3 linked regions of the Arabidopsis thaliana genome follow. The protein of the gene in region 2 interacts with the protein of the main gene of each other region in a pairwise test. Each region holds a gene or a part of one and is shown on either strand. Other genes may lie near its edges.

Evidence for each region.
Region 1: the proteins of PP2AA3 (region 2) and FYPP1 interact in a two-hybrid assay, tested with the Arabidopsis thaliana proteins (one study listed by BioGRID).
Region 3: the proteins of PP2AA3 (region 2) and FASS interact in a two-hybrid assay, tested with the Arabidopsis thaliana proteins (one study listed by BioGRID).

Annotation. Positions count from the first base shown.
Region 1 is NC_003070.9:18,656,511-18,662,557, reverse strand, and holds FYPP1 (Calcineurin-like metallo-phosphoesterase superfamily protein), read right to left. Parts: upstream 4,051-6,047; 5' UTR 3,665-4,050; coding exon 3,584-3,664; intron 3,134-3,583; coding exon 2,987-3,133; intron 2,902-2,986; coding exon 2,834-2,901; intron 2,618-2,833; coding exon 2,560-2,617; intron 2,201-2,559; coding exon 2,090-2,200; intron 1,978-2,089; coding exon 1,927-1,977; intron 1,822-1,926; coding exon 1,678-1,821; intron 1,581-1,677; coding exon 1,485-1,580; intron 1,396-1,484; coding exon 1,324-1,395; intron 970-1,323; coding exon 886-969; 3' UTR 506-885; downstream 1-505. Other genes in the region: AT1G50380 (Prolyl oligopeptidase family protein), read right to left, coding at 1-276; VIIIA (P-loop containing nucleoside triphosphate hydrolases superfamily protein), read right to left, coding at 5,452-6,047. UniProt on the Arabidopsis thaliana protein: Catalytic subunit of protein phosphatase 6 (PP6). Dephosphorylates phosphorylated phytochromes, with a preference toward Pfr forms.
Region 2 is NC_003070.9:4,562,901-4,569,814, forward strand, and holds PP2AA3 (protein phosphatase 2A subunit A3), read right to left. Parts: upstream 4,950-6,914; 5' UTR 4,789-4,949; intron 4,477-4,788; 5' UTR 4,449-4,476; coding exon 4,056-4,448; intron 3,847-4,055; exon of another isoform or gene 3,684-3,846; coding exon 3,437-3,683; intron 3,205-3,436; coding exon 3,092-3,204; intron 2,980-3,091; coding exon 2,900-2,979; intron 2,712-2,899; coding exon 2,570-2,711; intron 2,476-2,569; coding exon 2,395-2,475; intron 2,068-2,394; coding exon 1,963-2,067; intron 1,790-1,962; coding exon 1,607-1,789; intron 1,516-1,606; coding exon 1,423-1,515; intron 1,333-1,422; coding exon 1,193-1,332; coding exon of another isoform or gene 1,189-1,192; intron 1,105-1,188; coding exon 1,038-1,104; intron 912-1,037; coding exon 792-911; 3' UTR 528-791; downstream 1-527. Other genes in the region: AT1G13310 (Endosomal targeting BRO1-like domain-containing protein), read right to left, coding at 1-29; AHP2 (Tat-binding protein 1(Tbp-1)-interacting protein (TBPIP)), read left to right, coding at 5,108-5,135, 5,243-5,268, 5,629-5,896, 5,983-6,053, 6,140-6,328, 6,412-6,510; AT1G13340 (Regulator of Vps4 activity in the MVB pathway protein), read right to left, coding at 6,722-6,914. UniProt on the Arabidopsis thaliana protein: The A subunit of protein phosphatase 2A serves as a scaffolding molecule to coordinate the assembly of the catalytic subunit and a variable regulatory B subunit. Involved during developmental process such as seedling and floral developments.
Region 3 is NC_003076.8:6,173,237-6,178,906, forward strand, and holds FASS (tonneau 2 (TON2)), read left to right. Parts: upstream 1-1,735; 5' UTR 1,736-1,917; coding exon 1,918-2,059; intron 2,060-2,311; coding exon 2,312-2,403; intron 2,404-2,558; coding exon 2,559-2,621; intron 2,622-2,698; coding exon 2,699-2,797; intron 2,798-2,882; coding exon 2,883-3,041; intron 3,042-3,273; coding exon 3,274-3,345; intron 3,346-3,488; coding exon 3,489-3,621; intron 3,622-3,715; coding exon 3,716-3,780; intron 3,781-3,891; coding exon 3,892-3,967; intron 3,968-4,077; coding exon 4,078-4,179; intron 4,180-4,264; coding exon 4,265-4,457; intron 4,458-4,467; exon of another isoform or gene 4,468-4,731; coding exon 4,732-4,978; 3' UTR 4,979-5,165; downstream 5,166-5,670. Other genes in the region: EMB269 (GTP1/OBG family protein), read right to left, coding at 482-1,587; AT5G18590 (Galactose oxidase/kelch repeat superfamily protein), read right to left, coding at 5,280-5,360, 5,445-5,504, 5,590-5,670. UniProt on the Arabidopsis thaliana protein: Probable regulatory subunit of type 2A protein phosphatase involved in the control of the dynamic organization of the cortical cytoskeleton.

The DNA.
Region 1 (6,047 bases), about 14 Mb from region 2:
GTCAACCCTAACGTCACCGAACATCTCCATCACATGCTCCACCTTCTTCGCTACAGGAGGGGATCTCGATTCCGCCATGTCTCTCGGTGATGTCAACCGCACTGACGCAGCTCCGGTTTCAGAGGAAGAGGAAAAAGAAGAAGACAGCCGTAGAATAGAGCGGCGGCGAGGAACAAGAGGAACGAGGCAAGAGAGAGGAGTATCGAAGTGGAGAAGACGACTACGAGTCGCGAGAAAGTGAGTGCCGAGAGATACGAGTCCACGCCTTATTATCATATTACGTGTCCGTTTTAGTTGCCTAGAGACTCGCGACCAGTTTGTTAATAGAGGACAGGTCATATCCGGTTTGGATAAACCGGCCTATCTATGATTCCGGTTACAAAATTATTAACTCTTTCGTGAATTTTTGCTAGGATTATTGAACAAAACCAAATAATTAGATTAGAAACAAATTACTGTTGAATGTTGATTAATGGTCTTCTATGTTCTTGTAGTGGACTATTTTTGAGCTTGATGAATTTTATAAGCCTGAGATTAACCCAGAACCTAATCAAACCGTGCTAAACTGCAAATAAGCTGAGATGATAAAAATTGGTCTTGCTTACAGAACAAAGATGAAACAAAACAAGAAAGAAAGCACGTATAATAATAACATCCAGAAGAGGTTCAGGTTAAAGTGCATCAAAACCACTAAAATTACCAAAGTGACATTCACTTTCACAAGAAAATGTTTCCAAAATGGAAAAAGGAAAAAAAAAACAATGGAAGTGTAAACAACATCAGAAGATATACCTTGAAAGAACATAAGCCAATGGCAATCATGATAATGGCTAACTTGATAAGAGCAATACGAGACTAATAATGATGTAGGATCATCATCATGAATCACAGGAAATAAGGAACACCTGTCCTTGGCCCTCTCATTTGATTGTTCTCTTCTGTCTCCGTGAAGAACTTCACTTCCCTTTCCTGGTAATTAAGCATATTTTAACAAATCATTACTGTCAGTGAGGACCAGATCCTAAACACTTCCCAGAAACAGGTCTATATATGAAAAGTAACACACAGAGCACAATCAATATGGACAGACTGATTCCACGCGAACTGTGAATTGTTACTAAATAAATGGCTTAAACATCATAACTCTATCTCACAAGAGTCACTCATGTGTATATGTTTGGGTCGAGAGACAAGTATCAAAGGCAGTAACTTATTTAATCAAAAAGGAAAAGTAGAATCCGAAGACGAGTGCATAAAAGTAAGAAGAACATGAAACAAGATATTGTGGCAGATCAGTAACAAAAGAGAAAACAAATGCCTCACCATGTTGTCATTGAAACTCAATATAGAAGCCACATTCCCACAACGGTAGCAGTAATTAGGCGCAGACCACACCTTTACAAAAAAAATAAAGAGAAGAAACATCACCAAGCAGATTATACTTCCAACTATCCAAAATGATCATAAGGAAGCAAGGCACTTACAGTTACAAGACCTTTATCTTGGAACATGTACTTGAGACCTTCTTGTACAAGCTGGTGAGCGCGACATACTAGATCAAGATTGTTAATATGGTTAAACTGCACAAGAAGCAAAACCACAGATCAGGGAACTGAAATACATTTATTTCTTTTCACACCTTATTCAAATTTCAACCCCAGAAAAAAATATAAATACCTCAGTGGTAACCCTGGACCCGAAAAGCCAACCAGCTCCACGTGGACTGACAGCCCATGTTTCAATATCTTCAGGATCACTCCACATAAGATCACAGAAGGGTCCTTCATGCGGTATTTCGCAATTCCGCTCAATCAATCTTATCTAGAGAACAAAATAACATCTAAATGAGTAAATGAGATTTAATCTAATCATAAATAACACTTGCATGGTGAAAACCAAAAGTAATTTAAAATAGCACATTTTAACCTGGTCAATTGTCCGTACATCAGGTGAAAGGCCACCATGAACACATAGAACCTACATTGAGGATGCAATACGTTTTAATATGGTATACAGCTAACTTATGCATTCATAAAATTATACAAGAACACATCATAACACAATGCCAAAGAAGCTGAGAAATACTTACAGTGCCATCTATAATAGCTGAAAGTGTAAGATAGTCAAAAACATCCGTGCAATATCTCCAAGCATTAGCATTACCATACTTCCTTTGGCATTCGTCATAGAAACCATACACCTAGCAAATATAAAATTGGTACGACAATTTAAGAAAACTATAAAAATGAACCTGCAGGGCACAAAATATCACTACAATCTTCGTCCTTGACAGTGGATGTTAAAAGATATAGGATATGGTGTAGGATAGAGATAAATCAAGAGCTTCCGAGAAGAAAACTTATGGTTGCAAAGGGTTCACATAAAATGCATCTTAGTTAACATCTATGCCTATATCTAGCATGGCATTGCCACATGTACAAAATAAACTTTCAAAACTAGTTATAACAATTGAGCGAAAATTACTTCTCAACCAGTAACTGCGTGAAGAGCACAGCAAGTCAGCAACAATAGATATAAATGGATTAGAATAATGCATACCTGAGTTAGCTGTCTACTTTCATGATTTCCACGCAAAAGAGTGATATTGGCTGGATGTCTACATATTGAAATACAAGGAAACGAGTGATTTTAAGCTCACAGCAAAGTAAGTTAGAATATAAATTTCCTGGAATACAAGTTAAATCGATTTTCCAGTAGAGCAATGCGTTTACAGCTTAAAGAGCATTCTCAAGAGAACTATGATATACAGTGTGAAACGGAAGGATGACGATCCATGACATATATAACGCACAATTTCTACGGAAAATCTTACCTTGCTTTAAGAAGCAAAAGAATGGTGAAAACTTCAAGACTGTTGTAACCTCTATCAACGAAATCCCCCTGAGAAAATCCCCCACAGATAATTAAACTATGTGTTACATATTGATATGTCATACGAGCCTACGCCCAAAGTCAGAGTCTATACCATAAATATGTAATTGGTCTCGGGAACATGACCTCCGGTCTGGAAAAGTTTCATAAGATCATGAAACTGGCCATGGATATCACCACAGACGGTGACAGGACTGTTGACAGGTTGTACATTTGATTCCTCAATAAGAATTTCTTTCACCTATATAATAGTCAAAATATCTTGTGAATTACCAGAGTATCTTAGCAAATCATTGTCATGAAAAAAGAAGAAGACGGCTGCTACTACAAGTTTCAACACTAAAATTACTATAATAAATCCTCAAATAACAGTTTGCAAGCGTGGACTTGGTGCATCCATAAATTGGCTAAAGAAGAGCTAAACTTATCCCTAATTCCTTAGAATTTAGAATTGAAATAGCAAAGTCAATAAATCCTCTATTGGAAAAATGAGAGAAAAACCCTAAAATCCGTAGACCAAAATGGCAAAGGAAACAGTAAGGGAGAGAGACCAGATTCAAAGTAAAGTGCCACAAAGCAAGCTCTAAAGTCTCAAAAGAGTAAGCGAAGAATTGGGTTTTTGTAGATGCATGAATATTCGGGGAAGAGAAAGCAAGCAAGAGAAGAAAGAAGAAAGAAGAAGAAGGCGTACGTATTCGCAGAGAAGTTGAAGCTCGTCCTCAGAGAGATGTTGGCCGTCTTTAACCTTGGAAATCCATTGATCTAAATCCATGGCGGCCTTTTATTATCCTCTCTGTCTCTCTCTTTCGGTGGTGAAGTGGAAATTGGTGCTGTTTCTTCGATTTCAATGGTGAGTCTCGACGATCTCTGGTGAAGAATTGAAAGAAAGATAGATCTAGCAGAGCATTGCTCCGTCCGCTTAGGGTTACGTAAGGGGGAAAGAGGGAGAGAGAGAGAAAGGGGAAACACAACGAACCAAACAATCTCGACCCGAACCCGATTTGGTCTTCCTCCATCCCCAAACTCTATTCGTTGGATATTTATTTTTAATCATTTTTTTGGCAACATATTAAACATCAATTTAATTTTTATCTATTACTTCATTACACAAATCTTTAATGGAGTATACTACACATTTTCAATGTTTTTGCAATTCTTTTCTTGGTAATTTTATTTGTCTACTTGAATGTGACAATTGATAACACCTAAATAAAATTCCACAAATACTTAAACCTTCTTTATAGTATTTTTTCTTCTTTTTAATTTTTTTAAAAAAACACATTTCGATATATGTGTTGTTGAATTTGAGTAAGACCTTTTTGATAATTAAAAACTCCTAAAAAAAATTATTTAAAAGTCTTGTTAAACAAATTGTGTCTAAAGACACATTTCGAAATCTATGTGATGTTGAACTTTTGAGGAAGGTTGTTTGTGGGAGACCGTACGGGATATGTTAGAAATGAATCAATGATCTTGGATAGGCATTAGCAATACGATCGTTCAAGAGCGAACCTCACTCGATTCATTTCAATGTTTATGTTTGGGTCTTCCCATTTGGCTTCTGGTTAGGGATAATTTGAGAAGGAAAAGTATTGTTATGATGACCTCTAAAAATGACAAAATGGAATTTGTCTCACCAAAAAATCTCCAATGTTCAAATTACATCCGAAAAAATCACTAGTCGGAGGGCCAAATATTACGGAAAGTATATATTGGTGTTGGTTTGGTTTATACTTGGTCGAGAGGTGATCCGAAACTTAGTTCCACTTAAAAAAGTGATGCATCGCAAAGGTAATTCGAAATTTAAATTGTGAAGAGTTTACTCAGCTGCAAGAATAGAAATGATTTTTCTCAGACATGTTCATTTCGGGTTTGGGCTGGATTGAGTTTTTTTTTAACCCACGACAACATTCCAAGAAAGATCACTTGTTGAAGAGGGATTCCACCAACTGACCATCTGATACAAGTGCATGATTTATCATATGTAATTTTATCCATCAAATTATCTAAATTTTTGTAGAGTCTAAGTCGAGATATCACTGAAATCGGCCAAAAAAACTAGTAGTTAAATAGTTTTTAAAATACACATTGTCCAAACACGATAAAGATTTTTTAAACTCAAAACAATCTTGTATAAAATCTATACAATTTTTTTTTCCCTTTCTAACTCCATATGTTTACAAACAAACAAACTTGTAAGGAAATTTATATTATTATCATAGTTTACCACCTTGTAGTTATTTCTCGCTATGTCCATTTTAATTAGCTTGATAAAAAACTTAACTATTTAAGAAATATAAATATTGATTTGTTTTTGCAACGACTATTTATATTCAAATACAGCAATGGTTCACTGGACTTTGGAATCCTTGACAAATAGATATACTGTATAATATAAAAATTATTTACTGAATTTGCCAATAGATTTGGGTGGCAAATGAAAAACATGACTCTTTCAGTCCCAAGGAGCCTTCTCACTTCTAGCAGCAAAGCCAAAAACCGTAGTTACATCAAACGTGTAGAAAAGGAGACGTGCGTCTCAAGAAAAGGAAGTAACCATTAATACCTAGTACTCCTCAACCTCCCCCACCAATTCATCTTCACCTTCTCCGCTGAACCACCTGTTTCTTCACTCCCAAGTTTGCTAAGTATCAGTTTCGTTTCCCTTAGTCTCCCTCCATAATCTTTCTTCCATGTCTCAAACATCTGTTTCAGCCTTCGTAGCTCCCGGTCCGGATTCAAGTTTGCTTCCACCTGACCAGATTTCACTTCCATCAAGAACTTTCTGTCGTCACCAAATACCTGAGCTCTTTGTCCAAATTCCTCAGCTAACCGGCTTATCACGCTTAAACCCACGCCTACACTTCTTGACCTGCCATGGCCCATTTGGTAATGACTACCTCCTGAATCTAAATCTGTTGCATCGCTTGCATTCACCGATGCATCCGAGTTTCTCGCTGAGTCCTCAACCTCTAGGCTTTTCTTTGCGATGGAAAGACTGGATTGCAAAGATTTCATCTGCTTTTGCCAAATTTCTTCCATGGATTTCATCTTTGTTTCATATTCAGACCACCGGTTATCGTACTGCTGGACTCTTTGTCGGAGGATGTCGTTCTCCTCTTCTTTCTCACGAAGAGCAGCTTCGGTTCTAAGAA
Region 2 (6,914 bases):
TCTGGAATTAGGTACTGCATCATCGTCATCGTTCTTCTTCCAAACTCTTGGTTACGTAACTATTAAGCCAGAATCATAAACAACATAAATAAACTGAAGCCGAGAAACAAGAGAAGACTCTATAATATTTGTGTTGTCGTTTAAATAATTCAGATATTATTTGTAATTTCCTAATCCTATTGCGAGTCGAAAACTGTTGGAAGATCAAATAGAAATATTAAGGAAATTTCGTAGAGTTTTGAAATAGCGAGAGAGGTGTGTGCAAGAGTGGTGAAAAATAATCAACAAAATTTGTAAATAATCAAACAGAAAACGTCAATAACACATATATATTGAACTTTTCGAGGGAAGTTCCTAGGTCAATAATTCTCCGTAAGTGCCTTCTACGACAAGGTTTTGACTTTTGATAAAATAGTCTTCTAGTTAAAAAGACAACAACGACCTGAATCTGATATGTGGAGTATAAAAGCCCATGGGCTTGAAAACGACTCAATAAGTTGGTTGACCAATTAAAATATTCCAGTGGTGACCAATTGTACACTCATGCTTCGAGCAAAAACGTTGCCGAATCACTTGATAAGTAAATTATTTGGACTAAACAAAATTAAGCACCAAAAAGCAAATACGCCCAACGAACAAATCACAGAAAACATGAAGCCAACATTAACATTAGTAGCAGAGAGAAACAATGGTCACGTACGTGTAAAGTAAAAGACAACACACGACAAAGTATCGTTTACAAAATCTCATGAGAACCAAACACAATTCGTTGCTGTCTTCTTTACCTTTTTTTAGCTAGACATCATCACATTGTCAATAGATTGGAGAGCTTGATTTGCGAAATACCGAACATCAACATCTGGGTCTTCACTTAGCTCCACCAAGCATGGCCGTATCATGTTCTCCACAACCTTTCACAACCAACAAAAATGAAAACATTTGAATATATGGACGTTTAGATTCCCTGATGAGGAGGATAATGTGGAATCATAAGCTGTTTCTTTACTTGTGAGAGCCAACAAAGAATGTATACTAACCGCTTGGTCGACTATCGGAATGAGAGATTGCATCATTTTGGCCACGTTAAATTTGATGTTTGGAACTCTGAAAGAGGAGGAGAGAGTGGTTCTTTTAGTTAGCTATTGGGAAAAAAATTGAGTCAATGAGATTTCATGTTAAGAGAGAGACTTGCCTGTCTTTAGATGCAGTTATTACCGCAGGTAAGAGTTTGGAACATGTGATCTCGGATCCCATTACTGGAGCGAGAAGCGATACTGCACGAAGAATCGTCATCCGATATAGATAGTGTGGGTTGTTAATCATCTCTAGAACCTGAACAAGTAAATATACTCCAATAACCAATAGCTAAAATGCTCGATTTGAATTGAAAACATACTATATGCTTAAGATTTCTACACAAACCTGAGGAACTATATGCTGCATTGCCCATTCAGGACCAAACTCTTCAGCAAGACGCTTCAGATTGTTTGCAGCAGCTTCACGGATTGAGTGAACCTGACAATTTATAATTATTTCAAAATTTCAAGCAGTAGAGACGACAAATTTATTTATCTGGATGATTCAATGAAGGTAGAGAATGAGGGACCTTGTCTTGTAACCATTGCATGCAAAGAGCACCAAGCTTCTCATCAAAGAAGCCTACACCTAATTGACTGGCCAACAAGGGAATATACTCGATTATAGCCAGACGTACTCTCCAGTGCCTGTCTTCAGCAAGTTCTACAATGGCTGGCAGTAACGATTGTGATAGTAGATCAATCCCAATAACCTGGCAATTTTAAGGAAAAAAAATCGAATCATTATGAAAAATGGATGGACAAAGAATTTGCTGTCAAGTAGTCATTGACTTGACCAAAACATGATACAGCTCCTTTGAACATGTGGGAAAAAATAGAAACCCAATGTCGTACAAAGAGATGAGTAACTTGGTCAATAGCAAACCTGGTTCACTTGGTCAAGTTTGCTGATAATGTTTAAGCGTACATCAGGAAATTCGTCTTTCAATAGAGAAAGAAAGATTGGAAGAAGATGCTCAATTGTTGCATCCTGAAATGAATATCAATGCCAAGTTAAAAGCTGCAAAATCCAACTAAATATCTTGTGTAGAAAAACATAGTGAGGTTTTCTTATATAGATTATTGTTGCGAGAACCTTCCAGGCACAGTTAAAAAAATTCCTAAAGATGACAGTGACTAGGACGAAGAAGATATATAGATGGTTTCAAATAAAAGAAAAAATCTTTATCTCTAAGATGCTAAATACATAGAATATTATGAGCTTACACTCCAAACTATAGAGCCAAATGAATTTTTGTATAGATGACAGTATTCATGATATGAGAGGCAAATTGTATCGGTTTTTAATTCTGCTTACCTTACCCAAGACTGGAGCCATTCCCATTATAACTGATGCCAATGCAGATCTGACGTGCTGAGAAGAGTCTGATGATAATTCCTACGTGTAGATTTATAGGTAAGCTTAGCAAACACCGACAGTATTTTGGTCCTTTGCATAATATGAAATCAACACACTCTTCTTAAGTGTGTACCTTTACACAGGGAAGAATGTGCTGGATAGCGAGTTCAGGGTTTAAAATGCGACAAAACTTGGTAACTTTTCCAGCAGCTGCTATCCGAACTTCTGCCTCATTATCACAAAGTAGACGAGCATATGCAGGCACCAGATCCGTCCTTAATACATAAGGCACATGAGAAAGTATAAAAAACGACTCAAAGAAATTTATTAAGATGACTCAACAAACATGGACTTCCAAGTACCAAATACCTCTGAAGTCAGTAATCTATTGTTTGATATAGAATTGCATACTAAAGGTCAATACTACATTAAACCATAACTAACTTCAACCATCACTGCTTACCTAGTTGGCTCCGGTCCTACAGCTTCACAAAGTTCATAGAGCTGATTTGCAACCATATAACGCACACGCCAGGACTTATCCTGCTCAAAGACGAAAAAAATCAAGATAAAGCAGCTCATACATATCTGCCTTACAGCTTTCCCATAAAGCTCATCAATAGAATTTTTTTATCATATTCACACATTTATTTACCTGCGAGAAATTGACAATCACAGGAAGAATGTGTGCAACACAGTCCTGGGGCTCCAACAATTTCCCAAGAGCAGCACAACCCTCAACAGCCAATAATCTAACCGAATCTTGATCTGATATCAATGTCAATAAGATACTTAAAATCTGTAATATTATAATATAAAAAGACACTGAAGCTGAGATGTAGACAACCGTAATTCTGCTTAACTTCAGCTAATGGTCAGTGTTCAATGCAGTAACCCTAATACTTGCCTATTACACATCAGCCACCCCCATAACTAGGCTTGATGAAAATTGTAAGAGTATATGCTGGAAAAACGAAACATATAATAAGGGAGAGCATACCATCTTGCGTAAGATCCTCAAACATGGACATAATGTCTGTCTTCAAATGAGCTGATTCAATTGTAGCAGCAAACTTCCCCAAATTAGTTGCTGCAGCTCTGCGCACCATTGGCATGTCATCTTGACAAAGCTGACCATATATTGATCTTAGCTCCGTCTTTAGCACATCTGGGGCACTTGGGTATGCAATATGGAAAATCCCACATGCTGATACTCTGGCTGTGAACCATTCACCAGCTGAAAGTCGCTGTTACACAATGACAGTGTTCAGTAATGCTTAAGTCGGTTTCACATTACGAGCACCTATACCGAGGTATGTATGGTCACATACACAACCACAACCCAAAAGAGCGCTAAAGCCAGAGCGATGTTCTCTTAGATCAACCAAAATGGATGTAAACAACTTCAACCTACCAATTTCCCAAAACACCTATAAGGGGAACACTGAACAAGAAAAGCATATTTCCAAACTTTGGGGGACAATTGACAAAGGACCCCAAAAAATCTATGTTCTTCTGTTTTAGTGGCTTAATAATATTAAGTTTGACAGAGCATGGAAAGGAATCAATAAAATCGACCAAAGAGATTTGATAAAATAAGTAAACCAGCCTTATCTAACCTTAGCCAGAGGAGTGAAATGCTCAACCAAGTCACTCTCCCTCATCTGAGCACCAATTCTACAAAGTGAATCCACAGCTTTCTCCCTCACGCAAGTTTCCTCAACAGTGGATAGAGTCTCCAAAGGTGGAAGCAGAACATATGCATACTCAACCCCTCCTACATACAGAATAAAACCCCCCAACTCTTCCGCCATAGCCAAAAGCACCTCATCGTCATCGTCATTGTTCTCACTAAGAAATGGAATCAACTCTTTTCTTGTCCTCTCCTCTCCAAGAGCACGAGCAATGATAGAAAGCCGTTTAATAGAGTTCAATCTACGCTGAATATCATCGTTTTTTAGCTCGTCGATAAGCACAGCAATCGGGTATAAAGGCTCATCAACCATAGACATCCTCACCAAAACTCAAATCACTCCCTACCTTCAATCAAACACAAATGTACACAAAGTCAGAATAAAACACAATGCATACATAGACACCATCAATACAAAAGACGATAAAGTTACAAACTTTAAACTCAATTCCGCCTCTGAGATAATTCAAAGGTGACCCATTAGCCTCTAAAAAATGATTAGAATGGAGAACTGAAACTTTGTGCCGTCCCAATCTAGAGAGAAACTATTACCATTCTTAGACTAATAAAGAGAGAAGATCTAAACAATAATTCGATTTGAGATTCTCAATATACAATTGGAAAATGTTTCGAAATTGAAGAAATGATCGAGAATTTACCGATTACGCTGCTTTCCAAGTTCCGAGCGATCTATCAATCAGAAGAACGAGAAATGAGACCGGAGCTCGTCTTTCGCAGCAGCTAAACCATCTTCAAGCTGTGTCCATATAATTGGGCCTGTCAAAGATAAGAACTAAATGGGCTTATGTATAATACATAAAGGCCCATATATCCAACAAATACGACTTCGTTTAATATCTCTCTCGTATAAAGGAAGCTTCTCAGTAACTCTCTTCTTCTTCCTCAGAAAATATCGGAAAAGGAAAAAAGTTGCTCTCGCTTCAGGTTTTTTATTTCCCGCCAATTATTTCGACAAAAATGGCTCCTAAATCGGATAACACCGAAGGTATAATGATATAATCTCTGAAAAAAATCTGCTAGTTCTCTTTGATCTTATTCCTCATTTTGATTTCTCTCTTATTTACTTGTTTCCTGAATTTTTTATTTCTGCAGCTATCGTACTCAACTTTGTCAATGAGGTAAGCACTTCTCTGCGATTCTACATTTTTGCTTTAATTCTAAACGGAGATCACAAACAGATACGACCATAAAAATTAGAATTCGAATTTGAAATTGAGTCTAGGTTAAGGTACGCAGTGATGTTCACATGATTCTGAATCTGGGAATTTAATCACTTGGGTTTCAATTTGTGCTATAAGTTTACACATGAATTTTTCGTTTGAAGCTATTGATATTGACTAGGTTTTAAAAATTGATTGATACAGGTTATATATATATATATATATATATATATATATATATTGCAAGTTTTGTTTCAATCTGTTGTATTATTGTTGTTAGATTTTGATGAATGTGTTGTTGGTACTTTTTTGATGCAGCAAAACAAACCTCTAAACACTCAAAATGCAGCTGATGCTCTACAAAAGTTTAACCTTAAGAAGACTGCGGTGCAAAAGGCACTTGATAGTCTTGCTGATGCTGGAAAAATCACGTTTAAAGAGTATGGTAAGCAGAAGATATACATTGCTAGACAAGACCAGTTTGAGATTCCAAACTCTGAAGAACTTGCTCAAATGAAAGAAGACAATGCCAAACTTCAAGAACAGCTTCAAGAGAAGAAGAAAACTATCAGTGATGTGGAATCAGGTGTGAAAAAACTACTTTTTCTCAGTGGTTTTGAGGATGTGATATAGCTGCTTGGATAATGTTATGTTCTGTGATGTTATTTGCAGAAATCAAGAGTTTGCAGTCAAACTTGACACTAGAAGAGATACAAGAGAAAGATGCCAAACTAAGGAAAGAGGTATATGTTTTTCTTACCTTTTGGTTTTTGTCTTTCTTTGAGTAAGGTTGTTGATAGCTTATAAAGTGATTTCAACTGTGTACCAGGTTAAGGAAATGGAAGAGAAACTGGTCAAACTACGTGAAGGGATTACATTGGTGAGGCCAGAAGACAAAAAGGCTGTTGAAGATATGTATGCGGATAAGATTAATCAGTGGCGCAAGCGTAAGAGGATGTTCAGAGACATTTGGGATACTGTAACAGAGAATTCTCCCAAAGATGTGAAGGAACTAAAGGTGCAAACTCATATTTCTTCAGGAGTTTTTTCTTACAGACTACATCAGCTTCGCCATAATTTTTGACTACTGTTACTTTGCAGGAGGAGCTTGGAATTGAATACGATGAAGATGTCGGTCTAAGTTTCCAGGCATATGCTGACCTAATTCAACATGGTAAAAAGAGGCCTCGAGGACAGTAATTTTCAGGTAAGTTCTTCGAATTTGATTCAAAGTTTTCTAGAAACGTTTCTTGTATAAACACACACATATGCAACTGTACAACATCATTGAAAGCTTATATCCATAAAGAACACAATAATCTTACATCTTTGACCACAAAAAGAACATAGAAAAGTACAAAACTGAGTGATTACACCGTAGATGCACCTGAAAAACTTATAACATTTGTACTTAGTATCCACGAACCTGTCTTGTCCTGACTGAAACTGGACCCTTCAAACCTGCTTTACGCATAATAGGATCTTCAATTGAACGAACCATGTGGTCCACATGTCTTGTATCCGCTCTATTCGAACCAACCATACGATTTTGCTCATCTTTAGACTTACTAATAGTAATAGTCTCAACACTAGGTTGGGTTTCT
Region 3 (5,670 bases), on a different chromosome or scaffold from region 2:
AGGCAAACACAGTCTCATAATTCTCCAACAGCATGATAGTGTTGGACTCTAAGAGTACCCAATCCAGTCTATAGATAACCCAGAAACTCATATCCGTTCATAATACTCTAACATACCTCTATCAACATGAGCTTTTCTACTAGCAGAGTCAGCAATGGAAGACTTTCAAAAGTCCTGTACCTGTATCTATATATAAATTCTTGTATAGTGAGCATTACTTACAAGATGAGATTTCCTCTGGAGATTAACCGAGATACTAAACCTAACCCAGATGATCGAATGAAGGAAGCAGGGCTCACATGTAAACATCAAGCTTTACCAAACAAAAGAAATACAAATCAACTGTTCCTAAACCAAAATGAAATTTTTACATCTTTGAACAATCTAGCTTCTGTGATTAGTTTATCCTATCAAAGCTTGTAACCATCATCAACACACTAAACTAAAACCAGCTCAAAAATGAAGAAAAATACACACTTACATTTCAGGACCTTCTTCGCCATTCTCAGCAATCCTAGGAACTTTATTCATCCCCGACTTAAACGAAGCATTCCCTCGTCCACCTCTCCCTCCAGGCAACAACAACGCCCTCTGTCCCGGATGCAACAACTCCAAAAGCACCTCCTTCTCCTCCCCTTCCTCACCCTCCACCTCACTCCCAACCTCTCTAGCCTGTCTAACCACCGTCCCAGGAGCCACTTTCACCACGACATTATCACCTTTAGCTCCACTCTGCATCTTCCCTCTCCCATGTTCCCCACGTCCCGCCCTGAAATGCACACTCTTGCGAAATGGCAACAACGAATTCATAGACCCATCAACCTCTACATACACATTCCCTCCTCTCCCTCCATCTCCACCTGAAGGTCCTCCAAAAGGAACAAACTTTTCTCTCCTAAACGCCACCACACCATTCCCTCCATCTCCGGCTCTAACATATATCTTCGCTCTATCGAAACACCTCATCACAGCCGGAACTCCTTTCTCCTTCACCCCAATTTCATCCTCTTCCTCTTCACCGGAGAAACATAACACTTCTCCATCCTTCAATTCAGACCCTTCACTATCATCTTTCTCCGCATCAGTTTCATCACCATACTCAAACACTTCGTCTTCCCAATCTTCATCATCTTCATCAATTGATCTTGAACTCCCTTCAAACACATCTAATCTTCTGTAATTTCCCCAAATATCATCATCATCATAACTCTTCACCTCCTTTTCTTTCTCTTCTTCCTCAATTTCCCTCAAAGTTTCAATCTTTTCCTCAACCCTCGCGACATTGGACTCAGATAGCTTCACTTCTTCAGAAACTTTTAAATAAGATGAAGACAAAAGAGAGACATCATAGTAATCTTCCCTAGGAGGAAGACGTGTATAAGTAGTGGCTTCGCCGCCGGCATCAGAAACTGGCTGGAGTTTATCACCGCCTCGAGATTTAAGCTCGACTTCGCGTTGAAGCTTCGTTTTTCTAGGGCTTCGGGTTCTTCCCGAGACTTTGTCAGGTTTAGCGAAAATCTTCCTCGTCCTACTGGGTCGGGCTAGAGCTTGAGGAGTGAAGAAACAGTTAATGGATATGGAAGCCATTTGTTTCTCTGATAAATCTTAACGGGACTTTATGTGATATAAACAACATTTTGTACTAAATATTGATTTTTCAAAGTAAAGGGGGTTACAATCAAAAGTAGTATAAAATTGAGGACTTATATAGCAAACAAGGAGAAACTTTTATTACCTTTGAAGTTTGAAGCTTGGATCTCGCAGATTGAGCTCCAGAGAGGGAGAGAGAGAGAAAGGGGGCGCTTTAGGGTTTCTGCAGTTCCTGGTTCAGTCTCACCATTCTATTTAAGGGTTTTAATCTCTCTGCTTCATTTGGTGACTAACATTTATCGTCGAGGGTTGTGACGATCTCCGAGAATGTATAGCGGATCTAGCGATGGTGAGAGTCATGATACATCGACGCAGAGGAAGATCCCACCGGCGTCTTCGATGCTTTGGGTTAGAAATCTACGACGATATATTGGTTCCGGTGCCGGATTAGGATCCGAAGCTCTAATGGGTAATGTTCCTTTTGCCGGTTGTTGCGTTTTGGTTGTTGGGACAGTCTGTAGTTTTTTTATCTTTTAGCTTGTGATGATGTCATAAATTCTGTAAAGTTTGAATCTTTGATCACATTTTAGAGCTCGTTGTGTTTTCAATATGAGTAAAGTTCCTGAATTTACATGTCTATGTATTGAAAGACTATGTTTAACTGTGATAGAGTCTTTGGTTTTGCTTAGTTTGATAAGGGTTTGTGTTCATTGTTTTGTAGAGCTTGAGACGAAGAGAATCTTGCTCGAGATTTTTAAAGAGAAGCAACAGAAAAGCCAAGAAGCAGGCACAATACCGAGTTTCTACAAGAAGGCATGTCCCTTACTCTGTATAAAATGATTGCCTTTGCATTTCAAGGCACTACTCGGTTAAAATATTGCATTGTGTTATACACTTCATAGAAGTTGTTTTTCCTTTTAAGTATTCGTGTTAGGCAATAAAATTTTGTTCCTTTACTCTTGGTTCAGAAACCAGAAGAAGGATCTATTAGTCAAAGGGTCCAGAAGCTTGCAAAGTACCGTTTCTTGAAGGTATTTCGCCTGCTCTTAATTATTCAGAAGAAGTTTAATGTTTTTGCTCACTTCGATATGTTGATTAATTCCCACAGAAACAATCGGATCTTTTGTTAAACGCTGATGATTTGGCTGCTATGTGGGTTTGTTTGAGAGAAAATTGTGTGATTGATGATGCCACTGGTGCTGAAAAGGTACGTGCATCTTTTATAGGATTTTTCTCTGGAGCTGAAACTATGTTAACAATGATGCTGATATTGCGCTGTCTTTTTCATGTAGATGAACTATGAAGACTTCTGTCACATTGCCTCTGTATGCACTGAACAAATCGGTCCCAAATGTCGCCGGTTTTTTAGCCCATCCAATTTCATGAAATTTGAGAAGGATGAGGCTGGGAGGATTGCCATTTTACCGTTTTATCTTTATGTGATGCGCACGGTGAGTATCCTTATGTTTTTATAATGTCATGTCTTTGGGTATCATTTTTGTTCATTGGCTGAATATCATCTGTCGCCATAAGCTAAATATTCTTTGGTACTGTGTTTGAGTGACACCAGCTTTGCTAGTTTTGGATGTTTGTTTTTCAAGTTTTTTTAATTTGGCGTGTCTTTTACTTAAACAACTATAGTTAATACTTGTTTTGATTAATCATATGTTCAACACTATTCAGGTGTCGCTTACACAAGCTAGGATTGATATGAGTGAGCTTGACGAAGACTCTGATGGTTTCCTTCATTCTGATGTAAGTACTCAAGTGGCTCTAAAGCTTTAACTTTAGAATTGGCTCAAGATTCTTTAGGTAGTCGTCCTACCTGCAAATGTCAAATGGTGTTGACTTTTATGTCAAGTTCCTTACAGTTAGTCTACTTGCTGTTGTTATTATAGGAAATGGAGTCCTATATTGGTGGTCTAATCCCTAATCTGGCACAACTGAGAGACATGCCTCCGGCCTTTAATCAAATGTATTGCCGCATAGCTTCACAAAAGTTTTTCTTCTTCTGTGATCCCCATAGGCGAGGTAAGTGAAAGAAAATATTATTATTATTAGGCAATTAGAAATTTCTTTGACCCAGTATTCAATCGCTCGTAAATGTGATATTTTTTGCGTACAGGAAGAGCCTGCATTAAAAAGATACTGCTCAGTAACTGTCTGCAGGAACTAATGGAATTGCATCAGGTAAGTTTAGTTGAAGGATGTATGACATACAGCTTCGTCACCGTATAACTTTCCACTTTCATAAGCTACTTGCTTGTGTTTTCTGATTGTTCCTTGGTTACTCAACGTTAGGAAAGCGAGGAGGAAGTCACAGACACTGAACAGGCAGAAAATTGGTTCTCTTTGACTTCAGCCCAACGCATATGTGGTGGGTGTGCTATTTTGTCTTAATAGCTGCAGAGAACTGGAAACAACTCTCGTTATGTCATATTAAGAACTAAAATGGAGATTGATCTAGAGTTTCTCTTTCTTCTGTAGATATGTTCCTCGCACTTGATAAAGATATGAGTGGATCGCTGTGCAAACAAGAACTTAAAGAATATGCTGATGGGACCCTAACTGAGATTTTCATTGAAAGAGGTAAATTTAAGCCCTTTTGGTGATTGTAGGCTCGTGGTACTGATCGAGACACGCTTAGTATACTAATTCCCCTTTGTTTTTTTAGTGTTCGATGAGCATGTCCGCCGTGGTAAAATCGTGGCAGGCAATTCCCGGGAAATGGACTTTGACAGTTTCCTCGATTTTGTTCTTGCTTTGGAGAACAAAGATACTCCAGAGGGTTTGACGTATTTATTCCGTTGCCTTGATCTCCAAGGGAGAGGCTTTCTCACTACTGCTGATATTCACTCTCTTTTCAGGTAATGAATCTCTATGAAGCGACTGAATCTGTTTGGTTTCTTACTTTTTAGTAAATTTTGTTTGAAACATGGAAGTAAAGAAGGGGAGCATCAAAGAGTTGTGATGTTATCTGATACAATCTTCCTAAATAAACACTCTGCATTTCCTGCTTGCGGAAGCTGAGCTTTGTTCCGCGAGTCTCATATCTGCAAAGACACTAGTGCATATCAAACACACCATTGATGTGTGATAATGCCATTGTCTCTCTTCTGAATTCATCTGTTTAACTTGCAGAGATGTTCACCAGAAATGGATAGAAGGTGGGAACTATGAACTGTGCATAGAAGATGTTCGAGACGAGATCTGGGACATGGTGAAACCGTCTGACCCATTAAAGATCACTCTGGGTGATCTCTTGGGATGTAAACAAGGTGGAACCGTTGCGAGCATGCTTATAGATGTGCGTGGCTTCTGGGCTCATGACAACCGTGAGAACCTTCTTCAAGAAGAAGAAGAACCACCTGAGGAAGAGTCTCAGTGATAATGTTATTTTCTATGTCTACCTAAAAAAAATGCTAAATCATTGAGATCAAAAGTCTCGCACTAGTAAACAGTCTCATCTCATGTGTGTGTATCTTTGTAAGCTTATTAGTTGGTGACGTTTAATGAAATGGCTGTTTATATCGTCACTTGTCTTATTCTACTTGGGATCTGATTTGATTTTTGACATTTCTGAATTCACTTCTATTATACATTACTCCACAACACACATGAATTCAGTCATGTCTCGAGTACTACAAAATGGAAGTCATAAAAGTTATCGTGTTGTCTCTGGTCTGTGTTTAGACATGGAAAGGCTTTCTGGGTGTAGCAGCTCTGTTCTCTAGAGATTGTAATCTTTGCTTCAGATGAAACACTTCAACCTGCGTTCATCTCAAGTTTTTAGAACAATACTACATTTTGAAAATGCAAATTTGAATAGAGTCTATTGATGATTATGATGACACCTGCAACTGGAACGCTCTTGCTCTTTCTCCTGCAAGAACTCCTCTTGTTGAATGCAACTCCTACAAAACCCATAACACAAAACGGTATTAAACTTTAATCCTCAGTCTTTTGAAAACGCTTGTATATCTACTAGGATTATTTTACCTTTTGTGTATCGTCTAGGACAGCTTTGAGGAACGCTACATCATGCTCAAGCCTGACATTGTCGGAGTGAACCATGTTTGA